Nothobranchius furzeri: one gene and its partners. The protein of the gene in region 5 interacts with the protein of the main gene of each other region in a pairwise test. Links are inferred from orthologs where the notes say so. Each region holds a gene or a part of one and is shown on either strand. Other genes may lie near its edges.

Region 1 (4,054 bases), on a different chromosome or scaffold from region 5:
TAGTTTTACTCTGGAGTGAATCGGGAGCAGACCGGGTGGCACCCGACGTCGATGCAGAAGGCTCCGCCTGGCTGAGGGCCGGCCTCTTCTTGACGCTGTGCTGCTTGAGCACGGTGCACAGTTCATTAATGTAGACGAATGTTTTGGAGCTGTTGGCCTGAGCGCGGGTCAGACATCGTCCCAGCGTGTTCCTGAACTCCACGGAGGACAGGAACTCAGCGCTGGCCTTGGCGTGCTTGGTCTGGAGGAAGGTTAAGACCTCTGGGCAGTCCTTAGTGAGAGACGTGCAGTGCTCCAAAAACTGGAGAAAAGGCAGAAAGGAACCTGATGAAGCGTTTGGTGAATCTGGTTTTGTTAGAGAATAAAACTATATACATATATATATATATATATACATATATATATATATATATATATATATATATATATATATATATACATATATATATATATATATATATATATATATATATATATATATATAAACTCACCACACTGAACAGCTTCTGGTTCTCTGCCTGCAGAGCGTTTACGCTCTTCCTGTTGGAAGCAAAAGGAGAGTGGACGATGTGTGTGGGAGCCTGCTGCTGACGGCGGGCTGGAGAGACGTTACTGGTTTGTCGCTTGGAGGAGGAGGAGGTGGCAGAGGAACACGCAGGTTCATCATCTTCAAGCACAATGATCTGATCTGCCAATGAGGCAGGAGCCACCGCCATCCCAAGTTCAGCTTGTTTCTGTTTATAAAACCCAAACGAGATGAAGGAGATCAGCAGAGCGGCGAGTTTATCATCGATAACGGTTAGGAAGTGACAGAGTTCTCTGTAAACCTCTAGAGTTGTATGGAGGTCGTTTGTTAATATCTCTGGTGATTTAAACCCTTTTAGCATATTTAAGAGAACGTGTGACGTTTCGGCTGTTTATATTCAACGCTGGTCCGCTTCCTTGCTTGGTGCAGCTCTCTTTAGGGTGCAAAACAAAAGTGTAGTTCTGAGACCCGATGAAGGAGGTGGCCTCAAAAGGTTGCAGCTTTGAGGCCCACACCCTCCTGTTATCAGACTTGCATTGCATTCTGGGATGTGAGTGAAAACGTAAACAACAACAACAGCTGCAGCATCTCACAACAAGCCACATATAGAGGATCTACTTCACTCGTGTTGATCAGAAGACTGGATTTGTCAGCTCTGACTCAGAAAATGTTCAAATTATTTATAAACAGATAAATAAAATATATTTATGTAATTGTGTAAATAAGGTTTGCTGAAGGTTTTTTGGTTTATAAACAGACTTCAGACTAAAGAGCAGATAAAACATCTCAGAACTTTTACAAGGTTTTTAATTCAGTAAAATAACGATTATTTGTTGTCGTCTTCCTCCGCTTATCCGGGTCGCGAGGGCAGCATCCCAACTAGGGAGCTCCAGACCGTCCTCTCTCCAGCCGCCTCCACCAGCTCCTCTGGCAGGACCCCAAGGCGTTCCCGGACCAGATTAGAGATGTAAACTCTCCAACGTGTCCTGGGTCGACCCGGGGGTCTCCTGCCAGCAGGACGTGCCTGAAACACCTCCCCAGGGAGGCGTCCAGGAGACATCCTGACCAGATGCCCAAGCCACCTCAGCTGGCTCCTTTCGATCCGGAGGAGCAGCGGTTCTACTCCGAGTCCCTCCCGAATGTCCGAGCTCCTCACCCTATCTCTAAGGCTGAGCCCGGCCACCCTACGGAGGAAACTCATTTCGGCCGCTTGTATCCGTGATCTCGTTCTTTCGGTCATTACCCAAAGCTCATGACCATAGGTGAGGATTGGGACGTAGATCGACCGGTAAATCGAGAGCCTGGCTTTCTGGCTCAGCTCCCTCTTCACCACGACAGATCGGCTCAGCGTCCGCATCACTGCAGATGCCGAACCAATCCGCCTGTCGATCTCCCGATCCCTCCTACCCTCACTCGTGAACAAGACCCCGAGATACTTAAACTCCTCCACTTGAGGTAGGACCTCTCCCCCGACCCGGAGTTGGCAAGCCACCCTTTCCCTATGATTATTAATAATAATATTTATATTTAGTCATAATTCAATTAATGTATCTCTAACTTCCCAGCATCTTACAGTAGTGATTTAAATATTCATAAACATTACATCAAAACAAAATACTTGTATGTCTCATAAAAGTAGATTATGTCCATTTCAGTTTCACTCTCAGGCATTTTGAAAACATTAAAATAAAATTAGACATTCCAAAGATTTCAAACGTTTGTGTGTAGAAATAATGTTGATGTCATATTTAGCCTAAATGTAGATGTTAAAACATAATCACCCTAACCCAATCATAATACATAAATGCTTTAAAGAATAATTTATTATAAAGTATTGGATTATTTGGGATTATTTTAGTAGAAACAAACATTTCTAATTAAGGACCTCTTAGGAAACGAGAATTAGCTTTTAATAACAACATTTTTCTGTGCTTTGCTTTAATAGTAAAACACTGTCGCTGTTAACTAAAACATCAAAGCACATGTTGTTAAACACGTTAACTTACATTCCCGCGAAATTATTAGCTTTAAAGGACAGAAACGAAACTGAAACGCCAGTAAACCTGAGATAATTCTGATCTTGTGTTAAAATAGATAAGAGCTACAGACAGTTGACCACAAATACCAAAAACACTTACCTCTTGTTTAAGAGCAGTTCGATGAGAAAATAAAGAACATTTGCGGGTTACAACGCAGCTGGTTAGCTGATGTTAGCATTAGCAACAAGTAATCATGTTTATTTTTATGGTTAACACGAAAATTGGTCTTAGTCTGTTTGTTTTGGATAATAAACAAAATAAACTATTGTTTAATTCTAGTTTTAACCCAATGAGGCTTCCTGTTTACTCACAAAAAGCTTCTAGACTTAGCTAAATTGTTAACTCGCGACCCGCTAAACTCCGACGCACGTAGTTGACTCTGGTTGGTCAAAAGACACGTTGGGATGAGTAAAGCCTTCTGTCATTGGACAAAAGGAATGTGTCTTTTTCTCTGGTTTATTTTCTGGTTAACTTTTTTTTTACCGCCACCTGCTGGAAACATGTATGACGATAGAGGTCTCCAAGAAGTTTGTTTTCCACGCCGAATTTCTACAAGTTAAAATAAATGCAAGCGTTTAAGTGGAATATTTCTACAAATTATAAAGCAGATGACAACAGAGACCAAAACTTGCTTTTCATGCAGAATTTCCTGCAGAATTTTAATTACATCTTTCTCATTAAATGTTTTAGTCCTGAATGTCTCAACTGAAATGTCTGTGGTGTTTATTTTCAGCTACAAACATATTTGTGTCAGCTTGTGCAAAACTTCCTTAAATTTATGCAAACATTCTAGTCAGGCTCTGACACAAGGCAGCTGCTGTTTAAACAATTCTGCAGGAGATGCACAACAAACTAATTTATGTGTTTTTAAAGGCTACACTGCTTTTTAATTTGTTGAAATATTCCAGAAGTGTTGGTTTATATTATTAAATATCAGTGGCGCCATTAATTCTAATGGTACTTGTTTGTTATTGAATTTACTTTTCTAGTTGGCACAATTCATCTCCTAGAAGGTTTTATTGAGGTAAAACATCTTTAATCAGATGAACTAAATTGGTGTTTTAAATTTCTAAACTCACTTAAAGTTATTTACATAAAATTAAAACTACAATCACAATTCCTATAATTAACATAAATACTAATTTATCACAAATATGCCTATTGGATCATTCCTAATCCCACAAGTTTATCATATTGAAAAAAACAAATTTCATATCTTCTATCTATGTGAATTGCTACTAAAATGGATTTTTTTTCTTCACAAAGATCAGAATTAGATGCTTGTTCCCCATAAAAGTCTTTATTTTAGTGAAGTTTCCACCAACACAACCCCTGACTCATAACTATGCAGAATTATACACAAAAGACTTTTCAGACTTACAAAAGTCACATTTCATTAGAAGTTATGGAGAATTTTAAATTAATTTTACTGTCTCCAATAAATTGAGATTTCTTGTCCAAATAAATATTTTTTTCTGGTATTAAGTTC
Region 2 (3,512 bases), on a different chromosome or scaffold from region 5:
CTTCTCTTGCTCGAGTTCATCCACTTGCCTCCGTGTCTTGGAACTACTCAGATCTGTTGTATCCAGAGACTTACTCCGACCAACGGCCCAGGAAACCCTCTTATTTATGGCAGCTTCTTGAACATTCTGTTGCTTTCCCCCATTTGGTTTCTCACCTTTCTTCTCGGTGGATGTTGATTTCTTCGCTTGCAAAGACAGCCTCCCAATCAGACCAAGGCCCGCTTCTCGATCCACTTCTCTTAAATCTTGAACGGATTTGGATTTTTCCGATAGTACTCTGGGTACCATTTCCAGAGGCGCCCCCCTCGGTCCTGGCCTGTAAATTTCTTCACCACCTTCAACCTCTTTACGGCTCAATATGGGTGATTTCTCATCTGATATGTTCCTGGTCAGTTTGCGGAGGCCACGGGTCAAAGACGACTCCCGCTTCTTAAACCTGGCTTCAAAGACTTCCTCTGAATCGATGTCTTTGATGTCTGTTCTGAGCACTGGATGACGGGGGACGGTAGGAAGATTGGAGCTAGATGAAAGGGAAACGGAAGCAGGAGCTTGGTCACTAGTTGCTATTTTGGCAAACACAGCTGGATGCTCGGGCGATGCAGATGTACCGGTAGACTTTGTGCCATTCTCTTTCTCACCCTTGCCATGGTTCTTCTCTTCATCTTCCACTATAACAGGTTTGGATTCAGATTCTGCTCTACCTCTCTTTTCTAGTTGAGATTTGGTCCTTTGGTCTGTTCCCTCTACATTGTCATTTTTCACATTGTTCTGGTGTATGTGTTGGTCCAGTTTTGGTTCTGTTGGGAATACAAAGGAAGTTTCCTCTCTCTGTGAGGAAGATAAGGACTCTAATGTTGTTTGTTCCATCAGCGCAGACATTGAAGTCGCCTCTTGAAGTGCCTTCCCTTCTATGTTTGCACTGCAGGCAGATGGGATCTCCAAGGGGGCTCCAAATCTACGGTGCAAGGGCATGGGCTCAGAATCTCCCTGAGTGAAGGAGACAGTTTTGCGGAAAATGTTGGTCTTTGGTGTGTCCTCTCCTGAACTCTCGGATGACGCTGCTCGGGCGAGCATTGATGGCCCTGCTCTAGATCTTCTCAAATTTCGATCAAGGGATCTAGTTTGGCTCTCGTCATCCATGCCAAGCGTTTCAAACAAAGGTCCCCGCAGCCCGCTCATCTTTTTATCAATATTTCCCCCTCTTAGCAGTCGCTGCCTCATCAGCTCCAGTTTGAGGGCATATTCCTCCTGACTTAACTTTGTAGCCCCAGGGCTTGAGCTGCGGTTTGGCAGCTCCATAGAAACAGCCTTTTTCAGACTCTTGCTACTTGTCTCCAAGTCCTCATTTGCATTTTCCTTTTCTGTGTATACTTGGAGAAGCAGTGCCGAATCAGCAGAGCTGCCTCTCCTCATGGTAGCCCGTCTTGGTCTTGTCTGTGATTCGTTGGACTCAACACTTGATCCTTTTTTAAGAGCATCTCGTTCATATTTGCCTAATGTCTCCTCATTTGGAGTTTTATCTGATTCGCTTGTATTAGCCCCTCTTTCATCACCCATGAGGTCCCTTTCCTTCCTACTATTAGGGAGATCAACTTCATCCACTGGGATCTCATTAAGGGAGATCCTGGAACCAGAGAAGACCATGGACAGGGGCATGGGAACAAAGGGAAGCTCATCCGCATCTACGTCTGAGTCAGAGGACGACGAGGGTGCCGGGGAGCCTTCTTTCAAATGCCGGGCCACGGCAATGGAAACATGGGTGGATGAGTCACTCAGAAGCTCTGGGATGGACCTCATTACCATTTTGGATTTGTAGCTGATGAGAGAGCGCTGAAAAAATAAAATCAGAGGGTAGCAATGAGAGGGGATTTGTTTTATGCAGTTTATTAGCCATCTAAGTCACCGCTTTGAATCTCTAAGAAACATGAGAAAATGTCTTTTGGCTTCCCAAGAGCCCTTATACAGACCATTCTAAACCCCCTAAATCAGCCTTGCTGTGAAAAGAGCCATTTACCCTTCCCACTTGGCCAGGACATGAATATGCTAATGAGCTGCTTGCTGATTGGTTGGTTTAAACCAGAAGGCCTCAGACACTGGAGACAGCAAACTGGACGGGGAAGGGCTCCACATTGTGACATTTTTATCATGTTTCTCAGAAAAGAAGATTTTCTCTGGCATTTTTAAACTTTCTCATTTACATAAAAAGTAGGTCACACACGGCTTTGACTTTTCTGTACTTTTGACCCCCCAAGCTGTCTTTATTCACAAACAAGAAAAATGTTGGTTTCAATTCTTTGTCCCCATTAATGGTTACATACATTACATTTATTTATCAACATGAGATGTCTTAAATGACTGGACTTATGTTAGATCAGTTAGCAAGTTATCAGTTAGCAAGTAAACAAAGTAGGTCACAAATGAAAGTTTAGTTCAAATTTAGCCTCTTTTGCATGTCATTAAATTAAAACTAGAAGGATAATTTGGAATGGTCACGATAGTGCCACTTTATACATTATAGGATTAAAATAAATATTTATGAAAGTATTTAAAGGGGCCATTTTATGAAAAATCACCAATTTGGAGCTTTTTACCACGTGGTATTTTTTATGAAAAATACCACCAAACCAGTTTTTTTTGCTGCACTCATGTATTTTCCTGTCTCAGCTGCAAATTTAGAGATTTATTTTGAAAATCCTGATAACCCTTGATGGAAAGTAAGTGCGTCAACTGGCCCTGCTTCTTTCCTCAAAGCTAGTCTCTGAATTGAAACTCGCCTTGCCTGGAAGTAGGTCACTAACTCCCACTTTCTTCTAGTTGCGGGCATAGAGATGCTTCACTTGAGAATGATAAATGGCCAGTATTTGTATACTTCTTAGGGTTGTACATCCCCCAAGGCGCTTCACAACTCAATCAGTCATTCACACATTCGCATTGAACTTGCAATATTCCAATTACTGAACAACACACTCTACCTCCTGAGCTACTGCTGTCCCTGCATGTGACCTTCATGTCACAGATGATTGTTTTAAACCACGACCAGTATCAGAGTGGATATTCTGACAAATTATTTCTGCGTTGGGGACAAAAACCCTTGATAAACCATGTGTCCTGTCAACAAAGATGCACATAATAGCCAGCACAGGACATAAGTGTTAGGTGACTATTGTTTTGGAACAGACTTGGTAGTCCAGTGGTTAGAGTGCCAAGGCAGTCGCTTTAACCACTGGACTACCAAGGCCCATACAACAGCAGACTTGACTAAGACACTGTTGTAGGTGCATTTTGTAAGAGAGTGTGTGGGCGGAGCTTCACTGAAATGAGCCATTTCATTTCCGGGTATGAATTCAGGCTGACGATAATAACCTACTTGAGATAAAATTAAATCTCAGTAGTGCCATTGGTAATATTTTTCCATATACTGTGCCTACCTTTGCTCTTAAAGATTTAAAATAGCATGAGCTGGAAACATATATATATATATATATATATATATATATATATATATATATATA
Region 3 (4,142 bases), on a different chromosome or scaffold from region 5:
AAACAGGCATTCATGGAACTGTGCAACTCCCCCCCCCGGCCTGTCAAACAGCCCCATAACAGGATAAAAATACATAATGTGTCCGGGTGGCCGTTTGGGACAAAGAGCTCCACTTCTTAAAGGGGAAGGTCATCAGTTTCAGGTTGTCGATGATTCATTTTACTGAAACAGTTTGGTTACTCCGGAGCAAATGAGACACCTTTTCGTCTTTATTCCCTGGACAGTTGGGACACGTTGAATCCCCTTTGTCCTCACCCGTTCATTTACCAACCACCTCACTTTAAGCAAACTCATTTTCTGCCAAGGCTCATCAACGCTGAATCCCCATTGGTTGGGACTGTATTGTAGCCATAAAAAGGGGGGAGTTTGGGGGAAGTAGGCCAGCATTAGGCCCGGAGGCCACCTGTATGCAACCATGGGATAATAACAAGCCCACCCCTTACCCACCCACTCCCAGCCTCATCACAGATGGCTGTTTTTCTGCCGAGCTAATGGAAGGGCTGGCATTCATGAAAGAGCGGCCTCAGCCACAAAGGCAGCTGCCGACAAACCCTGGAGCAGCTGGGAAATGATCGGCTCAGCGCGGCCTATTCTTAAAAACCAGGGCACACAGTTGGAGGAGGGGGTGGAACGGACGTAGGAAGTACGCAGACGACTGTGTGCTTAACCTAAAGAGTTTAACCAAAGCAGATTGTTTACTCGTTGGGAGACAACCTCGAACACTGGGGAACCTTTAGCGTGCTGTGTGTTCACCTGAAGCCACTTCCTGTCAGAGTGACATAGTTCAGAACTAAACTTTAGAGGTTGCAATATGGCCAAGGGCCAAAACGTCTCCCTGCCTGTCTGTGCTGAGCACCAGAGCCGGGGCCTTAGGGTTTTAGACACAATGGCAAATGGCCAAAAGGATTCCAAACATAAAAAAGTTCTACTTGACCCAGTTTAGACAGAACAACCACACACACACACCCTCTGCTTTGAATGTGATTGGGAGTGAACTCACTTTGTTTATTACATGATAAATACACACAAGCTTGTATCAGACACCACTTTTCTCTCTTCTACCGCCACCCCCCCCCCCCCCGACACACACACACAGCCTCCAACTTTGTTTACAAAAAAAAAAAAACACTTGCAGATGTTTACAGATAATCATCCATCAATGTGACAATAAGTCCTAAAACAAAACATTTTATTATTGACCCATTTTAACCATCAGTTGTTTCAATTGCTTGGCTTAGATCCAAGCAAACATATTAATAAACAACAATAATGGGTTATCTGGGCCAGCTGCATCTGCGTGGAACTGGGATGGGGCAGATTTATTTGTCTACAGTTTTTAACTCAGATTATTTATTTGTCTACAGTTTTTAGCTCAGAGTATTTATTTGTCTACAGTTTTTAACTCAGATTATTTATTTGTCTACAGTTTTTAGCTCAAGAGTATTTTGGCGCAAAAAGCTGCTTCTGCTCTAAATAAGCTGTAAAAATCCAAAGTTATCCTCATTTTAGAACCGTGTAAAAATAAAGGCAAATTCTTAAAAAAGGATAAAAGGAAGAAACGCAATAAAAAACAACATCTTGTGAATACACAGCGTAAACAAAAATGCGGCAAACTAGAATCAGAAGCAGGCTGTAACTGTTTTCAAACAAGGCCATAATCGTTTAAAACTTATTAAAACACGTGAGTGGAATCAAAAGACGTTTTACGCGGTTATAAACTCTCTTTATAGGAGGAGTGGACATGTTTACCCGCTCCGTCCGGAGCATTACGTAATTGAGCTTGTTTTGCTCAGCGCCTGTGTTCTCAGATCTGTGGAGCGAGGCGCACTTCCTCGTTTGAGCGTCTCTCTCTCTCCCCCCTCTCTCACCCCACCCCCACCCAAATAGACCCAAACAACAGATTCATTCATTTTTTCAGTTTAAAACACCGAAAATGGTCTAAATTAGCCAAACCGTCGACGGATTACCCCGCGCGCTCAAAATGTGATGTTTTATCTCCGACGAGCGCAAACAGTGGCGCGCCTCCGTCGCGCTGATAATGATACTTGAGAGAACAAAGAAAGGCTTCTTCTCAAATCCATTTGAAGCCAATTTTTGCCACTTTTCACCTAAACAGATGTGTAAAACCATTAGTTTGTTTTTTACGCGCGTCTCTTGTGCGCATTTGGATCATTTAGTGCTTTCCTTACCTGACAGAATGTCTTGTAAGCTTTGGTTGAACGTCTGGACCTGTCGGTCGTTTATGTGTCCTTTTACCCTCAGAAATCTCGACAGAAATCCGACGGCGGCGCTTATTTCTGGCTTCATCGTTCCCCGAGCACAAAGGGTATGCATTGAGAAGTGCCACGGCGACGATCCGTGCGCTTTTTCTTGCTTTTGCTGTCCGACTGTTTGCGTTCCTTTTCGATTCTGGGCTTCGATCCTTTTCTGGTGGCGCTCCGGTTTCTCTTGGCATTTATTACTTGAGGTAGAGGAAAGTGTTCGTTGGCTGGTCCGCGTTAGGGGACGGTACCGTGTTTTGGGGTAGACCCCTGGCTTTAGTAAATACGGAGGTTTAGGGAACCCTCGTCGACCCTCGCTCGTCACTTTCCTCCTCCAGAGTGAGAGCTTTCGCTAGGGGAGAGAGGTTTTTATATTGCGCCCCCTCCCCCCACCTCCTCCTCCCTACATCTCCGTCACAAAAACCTACGGCAACTACAGCTCACCAATCCGAGGCCCAGACACGCACTGACGAGCCGCATATAGGAGGAGTGCAGAGTGCGCGTCATCGAGCCCAAAATAAACAGAGGCGCTCGGCGTGAAATGATGGTGCGTTTCCGTGCTGTCGGAAAAGCTGCAACTGGAGGAAACAAAAGCGAGCAGAAAAGCACAGGAACGAATAAAAAAACAGCACCACGCTGCCCACAGATGGACGATCGCTGCTGTGTTTACACACTGATACGTTTATGACAAACATCTCCTATAGTCGTTTCTCCTGGACAAAACTGAACACGATGAGGTAGCAGCTGTGAAAAAAGCACTCGAACCCAAAAAAAATTCAGGCTGTTTTCAATCAAGATGTTTTTGAAGGTGAATAAAGTTTTTGGTCTCCACACAGATTTATTCTGTTGTTGCTTTTTAGACGTTTCAGGTCAGAAAACACTTAAATATCAGACAATGATCCAATCCTGAGTCTCGTGTTTTCAGATGGTAGTAGAGAACATTATGCAAACTTAGCTGACTCTAAAGGAAAAGTAAACCACACACAGTGAAGGAATCATGAAAGGAAGAATGATCACAAATAAAACCACTCTTTTCATTCCAGAATAAAAGCCAGGACAACATCTCGCTCACGGGTGAAGGCCCGTTCTGATGACCCAAAGATGGCAACAACTCCCCAGAAGCCTAAGCCGTTTTCTGTAGTTTAGTACATCATCACTCTCAAATCAAACACTTGTTGACAATTATCGCATTTTTCAACTGAACGAACTGAGTATCGACTTATTTTAGCAAAAATATTCTTAAATTTGAACAAATTGACAAAACAAAAGTTTGACTTTAGAGACATTTAAACAGAAAGATGAGTTCCAACAAACTGAGACAGCAGTAGGTCAGGAGGTAGACCAGGTTGTCCAGTAGGCTCAAGTAGAAGGTTGCAGGTTTGATCCCAGCTCCGACCAGATAATGCTGCTGTTGTGTCCATGGGCAAGACAATTAACCCACATTGCCTGCTGGTGGTGGTCGGAGAGAGCGTTGGCGCCCGTGCTCGGCAGCCTCGCCTCTGTCGGTGCGCCCCAGGGCAGCTGTGGCTACATCGTAGCTCATCCCCACCAGCGTGTGAATGTGTGAATAACTACTTGTGTGAAGCGCCTTGGGAGCTCGTAGAAACCTAAGAAAGTGCTTTACAAATACAGACCATATCACCAATATACAGAAACAAAACAGGAGCACTGACACCTTCTTCTGTTAAGTATGAAAATGGACGAGGATGTCCGACCTCAGGGTTCGACTCTTGTCTCTTTCCAATTAATTTAGTTCAGCGTTGTTATGAATGGGGATGTTTTCACCAACCCTCTGAAAAGGACAGAGAAATGATTCATAATCAGAATGCAATGAGGGTAACAACACATTATTATTATTATATTACTATTTGATAATAAACT
Region 4 (4,244 bases), on a different chromosome or scaffold from region 5:
CAACCTAATAGTCCATTTCCAGAAATCACTAGATTAACAATTTGGGCACATTTTCAAATGTCTTTCATATTTTAGTTATAATTAAGATCAAAGCTCTGCTGCATTTTGGTCACCATGTATGAACAGAGTTTGCAGAAAATTTCATCACTTTATATATATATATATATTAGGGCTAGGGGTAAACGATTATTTTTAAAACGATTATTCTGACGATTATTTTATCGAATAGTCGACTATTCTAATGACTATTTAGAAAATTAATCTAATGATTATTTTTCTATTGCACAATTAACAAAAACCAGAAAATCTCAAATAAATTCCTCAAAAAGAATTGATAAATTCTTACTGTAAGAGAATAAACACTACAGGCCTTCCATTTTGTATAACACTGTGTTTATTGTGTTGGTTGGTTATGTTCTGATGACGTGTAGAACTTGGGAGTGCAGGCTGCTGCCTGAGAGGTGGTAGAAGATGGAGTGTCTCCATGCTGCTTTGTTTTGGTCACTTATGTGCGTGAGGCGAGTGGTCTTACGGGTTAAACCAAACTCAGGTGATATTTTACACTAAACCGAAAACCCACAACACTCTAAATGTAATAAAAGGGAGATCTACACCACAAAAAATATGAACTCTAAACCAAAACGTAACAGCTTATCCCAACGCAAGAAGCTGTTAGCGAAGATGCTAACAGTAGCTTTACCAACATTAAGTTCAAGTTACCAAGTTTAAATAAACCAAAAACACCCAGCAGCAAACAGACCAGCATGGAGGAGAGACTGCTACCACCAAAACAGCTCTCCTCATGTCTGAAAGAAGCTCCTTAATGAAGGGAGAAGCGCTCCCGGTGATTTTCTACATCTGCGATAGACACGAAGCAGCGCATCTGACCCCGGAAGTTGTTGTCCGTTGCCGGGAGACGAAGGGGCAAAACAGGAAAATAATCTAGTAGTGGACGGACGTTGTTCCGGGTCTTCGGTATTTGGCGGAGATGTTAGTGAAGGCGGAGAAGAGGGCGAACTAGAGGAAGAACAGGCAGATTCCTCCTCTATTTACAAACTCCTGGGGATGCAAAAAGTGGGCGCGGTGCGTCGACTTCCGGATCTGACGTCGACAAATTTTTAGAATCGAGCCGTCGACTTCGTCGAGGCTTCGCTACAGCCCTAATATATATATATATATATATATATATATATATATATATATATATATATATATATATATATATATATATGAAGCACTCCTACCTCAGTTCCAATCCCTGGTTGTGAGCCTGTGTATACGTCCTCAGGTGGAGGGCCTCCATATTTTCTCTGCCCTGTAGTCACGTCCAGAGTGTATCCTGTCCTCTCCAACAGAGACTTAAAACAAAAAACAATAACTAAACATTAGTTTCAGATCTAACTTTAAAGCTCACTTTTAACATTTCATACAAATGTGCATAAAATAATTCACCTTTATTTTGGACTCATCTGGACCCTTGGTGGACTCTTGTACCTTGCTTCCTTGTTTTTCCCTCTGTCTGTATGTTTTCATGACTCCACAAAGGAACGCACTTTTATTCTACAAAAAAATTATATAAATACAAATGAAACATAAAGCACTTTGGATACAATCACAGCTTCAGACAAATATTAAAATGTTACCTATAAACATGAATACCTGCACATGAGATAGGTCACTCTCTTTGAATTGCTGCAGCACCGTGAGCGCTCCCTCTTCATTGAACTCTCGCAGAGCATCAATGGCCCTTTCGTCCAAGTCAACATAAGCCACCAAGCCTACAGTAAATTTTATATACATATGTAAAAACACATACACACACACACATATAAAACAAAATGTCAAACAATTTGGAGACATATATATATATTTTAATTTAGCAGCTCATTTTGGAGCGATTACTGACCTGTCTGGAAGATGTTATCTAGACTTTCAGCGACTTTCTGAGGCAGCCCAGCATCAAGTAGTGTTTGGTAGTTTTCTGTGTGTGTTATTGACACATCCATTGGCTCTTCTTCCTCCTTTAATGGAGCAGAACTCCCATTCACCTCAGCAGCAGCCATTCCTCTGCAATATAGCAATCAAGAGAGACATGTCTTTTGATTAATCTGCATTTGCGTAATTATTTTACTTATAAAATCTAGAGATCATATAATAATTTGCGTTTTCAGCCTGTAGCAAACAAAAAATACTCTCACTTCATAGATTTCTTGCTTTTTGATCGCAACTGCTGACATTTGCTAATTCAATTAATTAAAATTGTTGTATATGCTATTAAATGAAGGATGAGATATAATATATATATATATATATATATACACGTTTACATAAAAAATAGCCAGGTTTTCAAAAAGAAACAACAGATAGCTACAGCCCCGCCTCCTTCGCATGCAGCCCGCTAACTAGCCAGATAAATACGTTTAATTCTGATATTTACATGCACGTTTTAAAAGAAAACGAACTCAATTAAAACTTAACAGAAGATTTAATGACTATATTTCAAAGCAAGATGGGGATTTCAAAATGTGCCTTTTCAAGTAGCAGCGATAGTTAGCCAAAAAGCTAACTATCGAAGCTTACGCGCAGGCCTCGCGGTGCCGACAAACGCCTCTCACATATCAAACACATAAAAGGTCCAAACTGATAGTTAGCAAAACTTACCAGCCTGATTCAGGAAGCCAATTACACCGTGGTTTAGCGCGCGAAATTATTAATTTTATTAACGAACGAAAATGCCCAAACAAAGTGTACTTATATCTCTACCACGAGACAATTTTTCCAGACACCAACGGTCTCGTCGTCGGCTCGCCCGAACAACGCAACCGCTCAGCAAATATCGCGAGACCAGAACGAGAAATCATTGAAGGGGGTTTCATGAGAATCATGGCTGCCGTGGTTTCTGTTTCGCAGATACGAACAAAAATAAAACGAAAAACTACGTATTAGCAGGCAATACTTGCGGTGAAGTTGTGATCCCGACTTCTTATATTCATTTCGCAGCATAACGAATCAATTTTGTGATTTCATGAGTATTTTCTGGTCCATTTGTATTTTGTCTGTTTAATTGAATTATCCTCGTTTTGTTGTACTTTTACACTAAAAAACAAAACATGCAGTGTGACTGCAACAGGTAATTTTACTTCTACTTAAAATGCACGATATCTGTATGCAGATAGTTATTTTCTCAAATTTTAAACTGATGTTCAAGATTCTGTTGAAAGTATGGAAAACATACGTTCACAACACTGATGATGGAAAAGAATGCTTCCTTTTTATCCAACTGCTGAAAAGGGATTTTGATTATCTTGGAAGAAACAAATGCACATGTTTTGAACACCAAGCCAAATGTTTAAAAATCCAAAGCGAATTAAATGCATATTTTGACAATGTAGGAAGATTAATCACTTTATTATTTCAGCATGATGAGTCAGAAGGACCTTTCATGACTAAGACCTGCAGAAAGTACAAGTGATAACGACATGTTCACAAGCGGTTCTACTCAGGAAAGAATTGACAGTTGGCCTCTCCCCCTTAATCGTCGTGCGTGAGCTTTCTGATTTTGCCCTTGTGGCGGTCGATCTCCTTCTGTAGGCGTTCAATCTCCTTTTTGTGGTGCTCGATCTCTTCTGAATGATGCTTCCTTAGTGCCTCCAACTGCTCCCGTTCCTTCTGCCTGCAAACAAATGCAACACAGAGACGGTCAAGAAAACACAATACAATGAAAGTAGTAGTACAGTATTATCACTATGCCTGGCATCTCACCGGAAGTACAGCTCCTCCTCTGCTGCTTCTCGCTTTCCAAAGGCACCTCCTGCTGACCTCACATAGCCTCCACCACCACCACCTTTCCCTGCTCCCTTTCCCAATTCACCAAGCTGGAAAAAAACAATATTTTTATGTGATTGTAAATCTCACACTAGGAATGTGCTTTATTTTAACACTTTCGGTTATGCATCACATATCAAAATGTTTAATTAATCTAAGTTATGAGAATCCTCAAAATACCACCTGAAGTTCTTTGATATGAAGTAGGGCTGGACGATATGGAAAAAATGCCCATCACCACAATATTTTTCATATCAGCCAATACTGACCAAACTATTTTTGGCAATTTCTATTACCCTGTATTATTAGGGGAAATCTGAAGCATGCATTTCACACTAGCCGGTTCGGGTGCTAAAACAGATTAGTGATATTCTCAGACTTTGTTCGAACATGCATTTTATATCATTTAGAGTGCACCT
Region 5 (4,188 bases):
GATTTGGGTTGAGGGAGAATGCAACGAGTCGCTATATAAAGCAGCTGCAGCGCCGCTACCTGCATATAAACCGTGTCGCAGACTAGGGCTGCTCAATTAATCGAATTTTAATCACGATTACGATCTGAGTTTTGAACGATTATAAAAAACAAAACAAGCCGATTATTTGCTCCTCCCGCCTGCGCTGCCCCGAGTTGCAAATGAAGCGCTCCTCACAGTGTTGCCAACTTAGCGACTTTGACGCTATTTCTAGCAGCTTTTCAGACACCCTTCTTGACTTTTTAACTTAAAAGTACCTAGCGAACACCTGAGAAACATCTCTGGTAACCCTTAGCTACTTTCTGGATAACTGTCATCGACATTTCCTGCAGGTTAGCTTAACACTCCGCCTGCGCCCCGGACCGTTCTTCAGGACATTAGGAAAGGGAATGATGTAGTGATGTGTCAGTCGCTAAAGAAACAGCTCTCAGAGCCGGCTCCCTGTTGGAGTAACCAGAGTGAGTGACACACACACCGCACCTGCGGACTCCTGAGCCACTAAAAACGGCTAAATGTGCGTGTGCGGCGCGCTAAACACACGTGCAGTTTGCCCCGATTGCTGTGAGACCGGGTTGGGGGGTGCAGCTGTGGTTGGGACAATTATTACATTAACTGATGGACTTGTAAATAAATAGTTTATAAATAATGTAGAAATAAGTTCCTCACGCTGATAATTAATAACTAATCTCTGAGGACACGGTGCTAGTGCACTCTCCTACAGCACCTTGACACAACTAAATAAATGTTATGCAACATTTTGTGAACATAAATTTATTTGCATGTATTTGTTGCCACTGTATAATTCTTGCTGTCAGTATTTGCAAGATATTGGTATTTGGGTCTGTACTGGTTAGACTTAAATGAGTTAAACCAAGGTCTATAGCCCTTGGGTCATAAACTATGAGCTATAAAAATATATTGGTCTTTTTATACTGGGAATCAGGAGTTCTTTTAGTGATCATCTTGTTTCTTATTTTTGTCCTGATTGTGCCCTGAGCAATTTTATGACTGAATAAAAACAAATAAAATCAACATAAATTGAAAAATCGTCCTAAATAATCGTGATCTCAATTTCAGTCACCATAATCGTGATTATTATTTTCGCCATAATCGAGCAGCCCTATCGCAGACACCCCATGTTGAAATGACGCTATGCATTACGGGGCTCCCAGGGGCAGATAAGAGTTGGTCTCTCTCCGAGAATAATTATGAATTTAACAATGATTACTGCCTGATGACATTTTCCCACATCTGCAAAGCTCACTGGAAGGACACAAACCGAGGACAATATTTACCTGATATAGGGTTTGTTACTCAAGTAAGGGTAAAGTATCTGATTAGAAGGCTACTTGAGTACTGAGTATCATCGGATCTAATATTTTTAAATGATGACATCAAACAGACAAAAAATAAGTAGCAAATATCTGTATTTTAAAGACTAATGGGAAACAATGTAAACAAATAAACATTACAAAATAACACATTTTAGGCAAAATTTAGACAAACTGTGGAGAATATTTCCTGACATACAGGGTTTATTTAATTGTGTGAAAATGTAGCACGTTAAAAAAATACCGCGATAATACCGAAAACCGTGGTAATTTTGGTCACAATAACCGTGAGCTTAAATTTTCACACCGTGACAACCCTACCTCAGACCCACCGGTCTGCCTGTTTTTACCGCTGCTGCTACGCTGTCTCTGAGGACAAAGATGACGTAATAAATACATTCCGTCCTAGTGAGGATTCAGGAACCAGTCCCCTGAGCTCCTGTGATCAGGAACCAGCAGCAGCATCTACTACCACGTCTAAACTAAACCGTCTCTTATGCTTGTCCACTCTGACTGAGGTTAAACGTAACCAGCGTTGTGTTAAAGCAATTTGACCACGTTAAAAAAACCGAGAATGTTCACCTCACTGACTTTAAACATGTACAATAATCGCGAGGAGTAAACTGGGCAGAGGGCTGTTAGATGGGAGATGAGTGTCAACGTGCACCCGGCTCCCGACACCTCCAGACCGAACAGATTAGCTTAGCGGCTAAGTCTCCCTCCCATGAACGCTACAGAAGTTTAAACACTTTAAATTTTAAGTTTGTTTGACTCTGAGCCCAGCGGTTTTCTAACCCGAGTAAAACATGTAGCTTCGGAGGCTAACCAGCACAAGAGGTAACATGTTGGACTGACTCACTGTACAAAGCCGATAACTAGTTAGCATCAGAGGCTAACTAGCTTCAGAGCTAACACGTTGGACCCATTGTGCAAAGCCGAGAACCAGTTATCATAGACTACCTAGCTTCAGAGCTAACACGTTGGACCCATGCGGTCACAGAGGACACACCGGCTAACTTCAGCCATTACCGCTCACTCACGATGTAACGAAATTTTTAAATCACGACCTACACGCGTTACTGACTGAGTGTCAGAGTTTTGTCGTATTTTTTCTGATTTGTTCTAACTGCGACACTAATGAATGAGCGGCATCAGCAGACACATGAAACCACGTTTAAAAATCGGTTTTTCTGTGTGTGGTAAAGAAACACACGTCCGACATCGGTGGAAGCCAACACTAAAAATTCGTGTGTGTGAAGTTACTATATTTCTCCCAGTAAGTCCTTACCTCCATCCTTTCTGCTGGCGCCGCCATTTCCATCTTCTGCCTTGTGTCGTGTCTTCTTCTTCGTCAGGTTCTTCTACTTTGGCGGACGGCTGCTTCTTCTTCTTCTGGACTTACATACGTCATTTACAGCGTTTCCGCCATATTGGATGGGCCTCCTTTGTGCTGCCTATGGCTAAAACAACCGGCGTACTATTGAAAGCAGATCACGTGGGATTACCAGAGACTTTTCTAGCCTACCTGATGGGATTTTATATTAAATTTAATTAATATTTATTTTGTTTAATTATATTTATATTTTATTATTATGCCATACATTGTGCCTGATTTTGTGAAAAAGCTCGATTAAATTTGTTTTTTAGTTGAGTTAGCCCCTTCCTCAGTAGAAATTAATGCACCGGGGGCGAATGGAGACCCATCCAAAATGGCGGATGGCCACTACGGCAGATCCAGTCCACGGGGCGTTGCCGTAAATATGTCTGCGCATACCTAACGTGAAAAGGTGTTTACTGCCACCTACTGTTAGTAGTAATCGGACGTTTTATTTATTGAAGACTCCTCGACTTTTATAAGCTTGGAAGGCTTTTACTGAGCATCAATGCTTTTTTACAGCAGCACCTGAGAACCACAGCGCCCCCAACTGGAGATGACGGGTATCTTTATTTTAAAGTATCTTTTTTTATATCAACTAAACAGAGGATTATTGACATTTGGAATAACAGCACCCAAACATCGGAAAAGTTGGAGTGCATTATGAACAAATGACCTTGACTCCATCACTAAGAGAACAAATTAAAATTTGTATGCATCAGTTTCTCTGAGGACCTCTCCTGAGGCCCCAAAGGCTAAACAGCATTTGTATTTGCTGAGAAGGCTGAGGAAGTTTAGGATGCCAAGTCCTGCCCTCACCAGTCCGTACTCCATCAAGAGAGGAAATGGAACAGCTTCACACGAGACGAGCTATGTGTGGAAACAGCTCAGCAAACGAATACCAGGCAGGCTCCATGGTGGATGCAGCAAAAAAGAAAAAAATAATCCACTGGCTCAGCACTCTACACTGGAAATGCTGCCTACTTCTACAACACCTGTCCTTAGGAGGAAAAACAACATCATCAGGGGACTGAACCCCCACAACACAAACTGTGCAGCTTTTATCTACAAAAGCACAATAACCAGAAGCACCAGACTAAAAGAGAGTTTTATTCTTCTGACTTATCGGCCCCATCCTGCAACACCAGTTCACCCACTGCTAAAATAAATGCACAAAAATCTTTGACCTAATCATTCACTCTGAAAAATATTGCACAGGTAGATGTGTTGCACAATACGTTTAGGTTTGTTGTTTTTGTGTACTGTTTGTACAAATACATGTTTACATGTTGCCCTGTGGGGTATGTTACTTCTTAAATGTTTGCATTTGTGCACCTGTGTTTGGCCTACCTCAGGTATCCTAATTATTACTGTCCTGGTACTAGAAGGGTCTACCAGAGCAGATAGATGCAGACTGTGCAACAACGCTGCCTCACTCAGAGA

Evidence for each region.
Region 1: the proteins of prmt1 (region 5) and daxx interact in a two-hybrid assay, tested with the Homo sapiens proteins (2 studies listed by BioGRID and IntAct). The link is inferred for Nothobranchius furzeri from reciprocal best matches to the Homo sapiens genes PRMT1 and DAXX.
Region 2: the proteins of prmt1 (region 5) and spega interact in binary tests that used the Homo sapiens proteins (3 or more experiments, as listed by UniProt). The two-hybrid records come from large-scale screens. The link is inferred for Nothobranchius furzeri from reciprocal best matches to the Homo sapiens genes PRMT1 and SPEG.
Region 3: the proteins of prmt1 (region 5) and btg1 interact in a two-hybrid assay, tested with the Homo sapiens proteins (2 studies listed by BioGRID). The link is inferred for Nothobranchius furzeri from reciprocal best matches to the Homo sapiens genes PRMT1 and BTG1.
Region 4: the proteins of prmt1 (region 5) and heterogeneous nuclear ribonucleoprotein R interact in binary tests that used the Homo sapiens proteins (3 or more experiments, as listed by UniProt). The link is inferred for Nothobranchius furzeri from reciprocal best matches to the Homo sapiens genes PRMT1 and HNRNPR.

What each region holds. Positions count from the first base shown.
Region 1 is NC_091759.1:22,797,645-22,801,698, reverse strand, and holds the start of daxx (death domain-associated protein 6), read right to left. Parts: upstream 2,805-4,054; 5' UTR 2,665-2,804; intron 735-2,664; 5' UTR 717-734; coding exon 492-716; intron 302-491; coding exon 1-301. UniProt on the Homo sapiens protein: Transcription corepressor known to repress transcriptional potential of several sumoylated transcription factors. Down-regulates basal and activated transcription.
Region 2 is NC_091742.1:63,023,335-63,026,846, reverse strand, and holds part of spega (striated muscle preferentially expressed protein kinase), read right to left. Parts: intron 1,831-3,512; coding exon 1-1,830.
Region 3 is NC_091741.1:44,414,671-44,418,812, forward strand, and holds the start of btg1 (protein BTG1), read right to left. Parts: upstream 2,804-4,142; 5' UTR 2,335-2,803; coding exon 2,190-2,334; intron 1-2,189. UniProt on the Homo sapiens protein: Anti-proliferative protein.
Region 4 is NC_091759.1:6,952,773-6,957,016, forward strand, and holds the start of heterogeneous nuclear ribonucleoprotein R, read right to left. Parts: upstream 2,813-4,244; 5' UTR 2,662-2,812; intron 2,068-2,661; 5' UTR 2,064-2,067; coding exon 1,907-2,063; intron 1,779-1,906; coding exon 1,660-1,778; intron 1,561-1,659; coding exon 1,453-1,560; intron 1,359-1,452; coding exon 1,245-1,358; intron 1-1,244. Other genes in the region: atp5if1a (ATPase inhibitor A, mitochondrial), read right to left, coding at 3,532-3,673, 3,763-3,875. UniProt on the Homo sapiens protein: Component of ribonucleosomes, which are complexes of at least 20 other different heterogeneous nuclear ribonucleoproteins (hnRNP). hnRNP play an important role in processing of precursor mRNA in the nucleus.
Region 5 is NC_091758.1:13,912,165-13,916,352, forward strand, and holds the start of prmt1 (protein arginine N-methyltransferase 1), read right to left. Parts: upstream 2,801-4,188; 5' UTR 2,692-2,800; coding exon 2,659-2,691; intron 1-2,658. UniProt on the Homo sapiens protein: Arginine methyltransferase that methylates (mono and asymmetric dimethylation) the guanidino nitrogens of arginyl residues present in proteins such as ESR1, histone H2, H3 and H4, FMR1, ILF3, HNRNPA1, HNRNPD, NFATC2IP, SUPT5H, TAF15, EWS, HABP4, SERBP1, RBM15, FOXO1, CHTOP, MAP3K5/ASK1, MICU1 and NPRL2.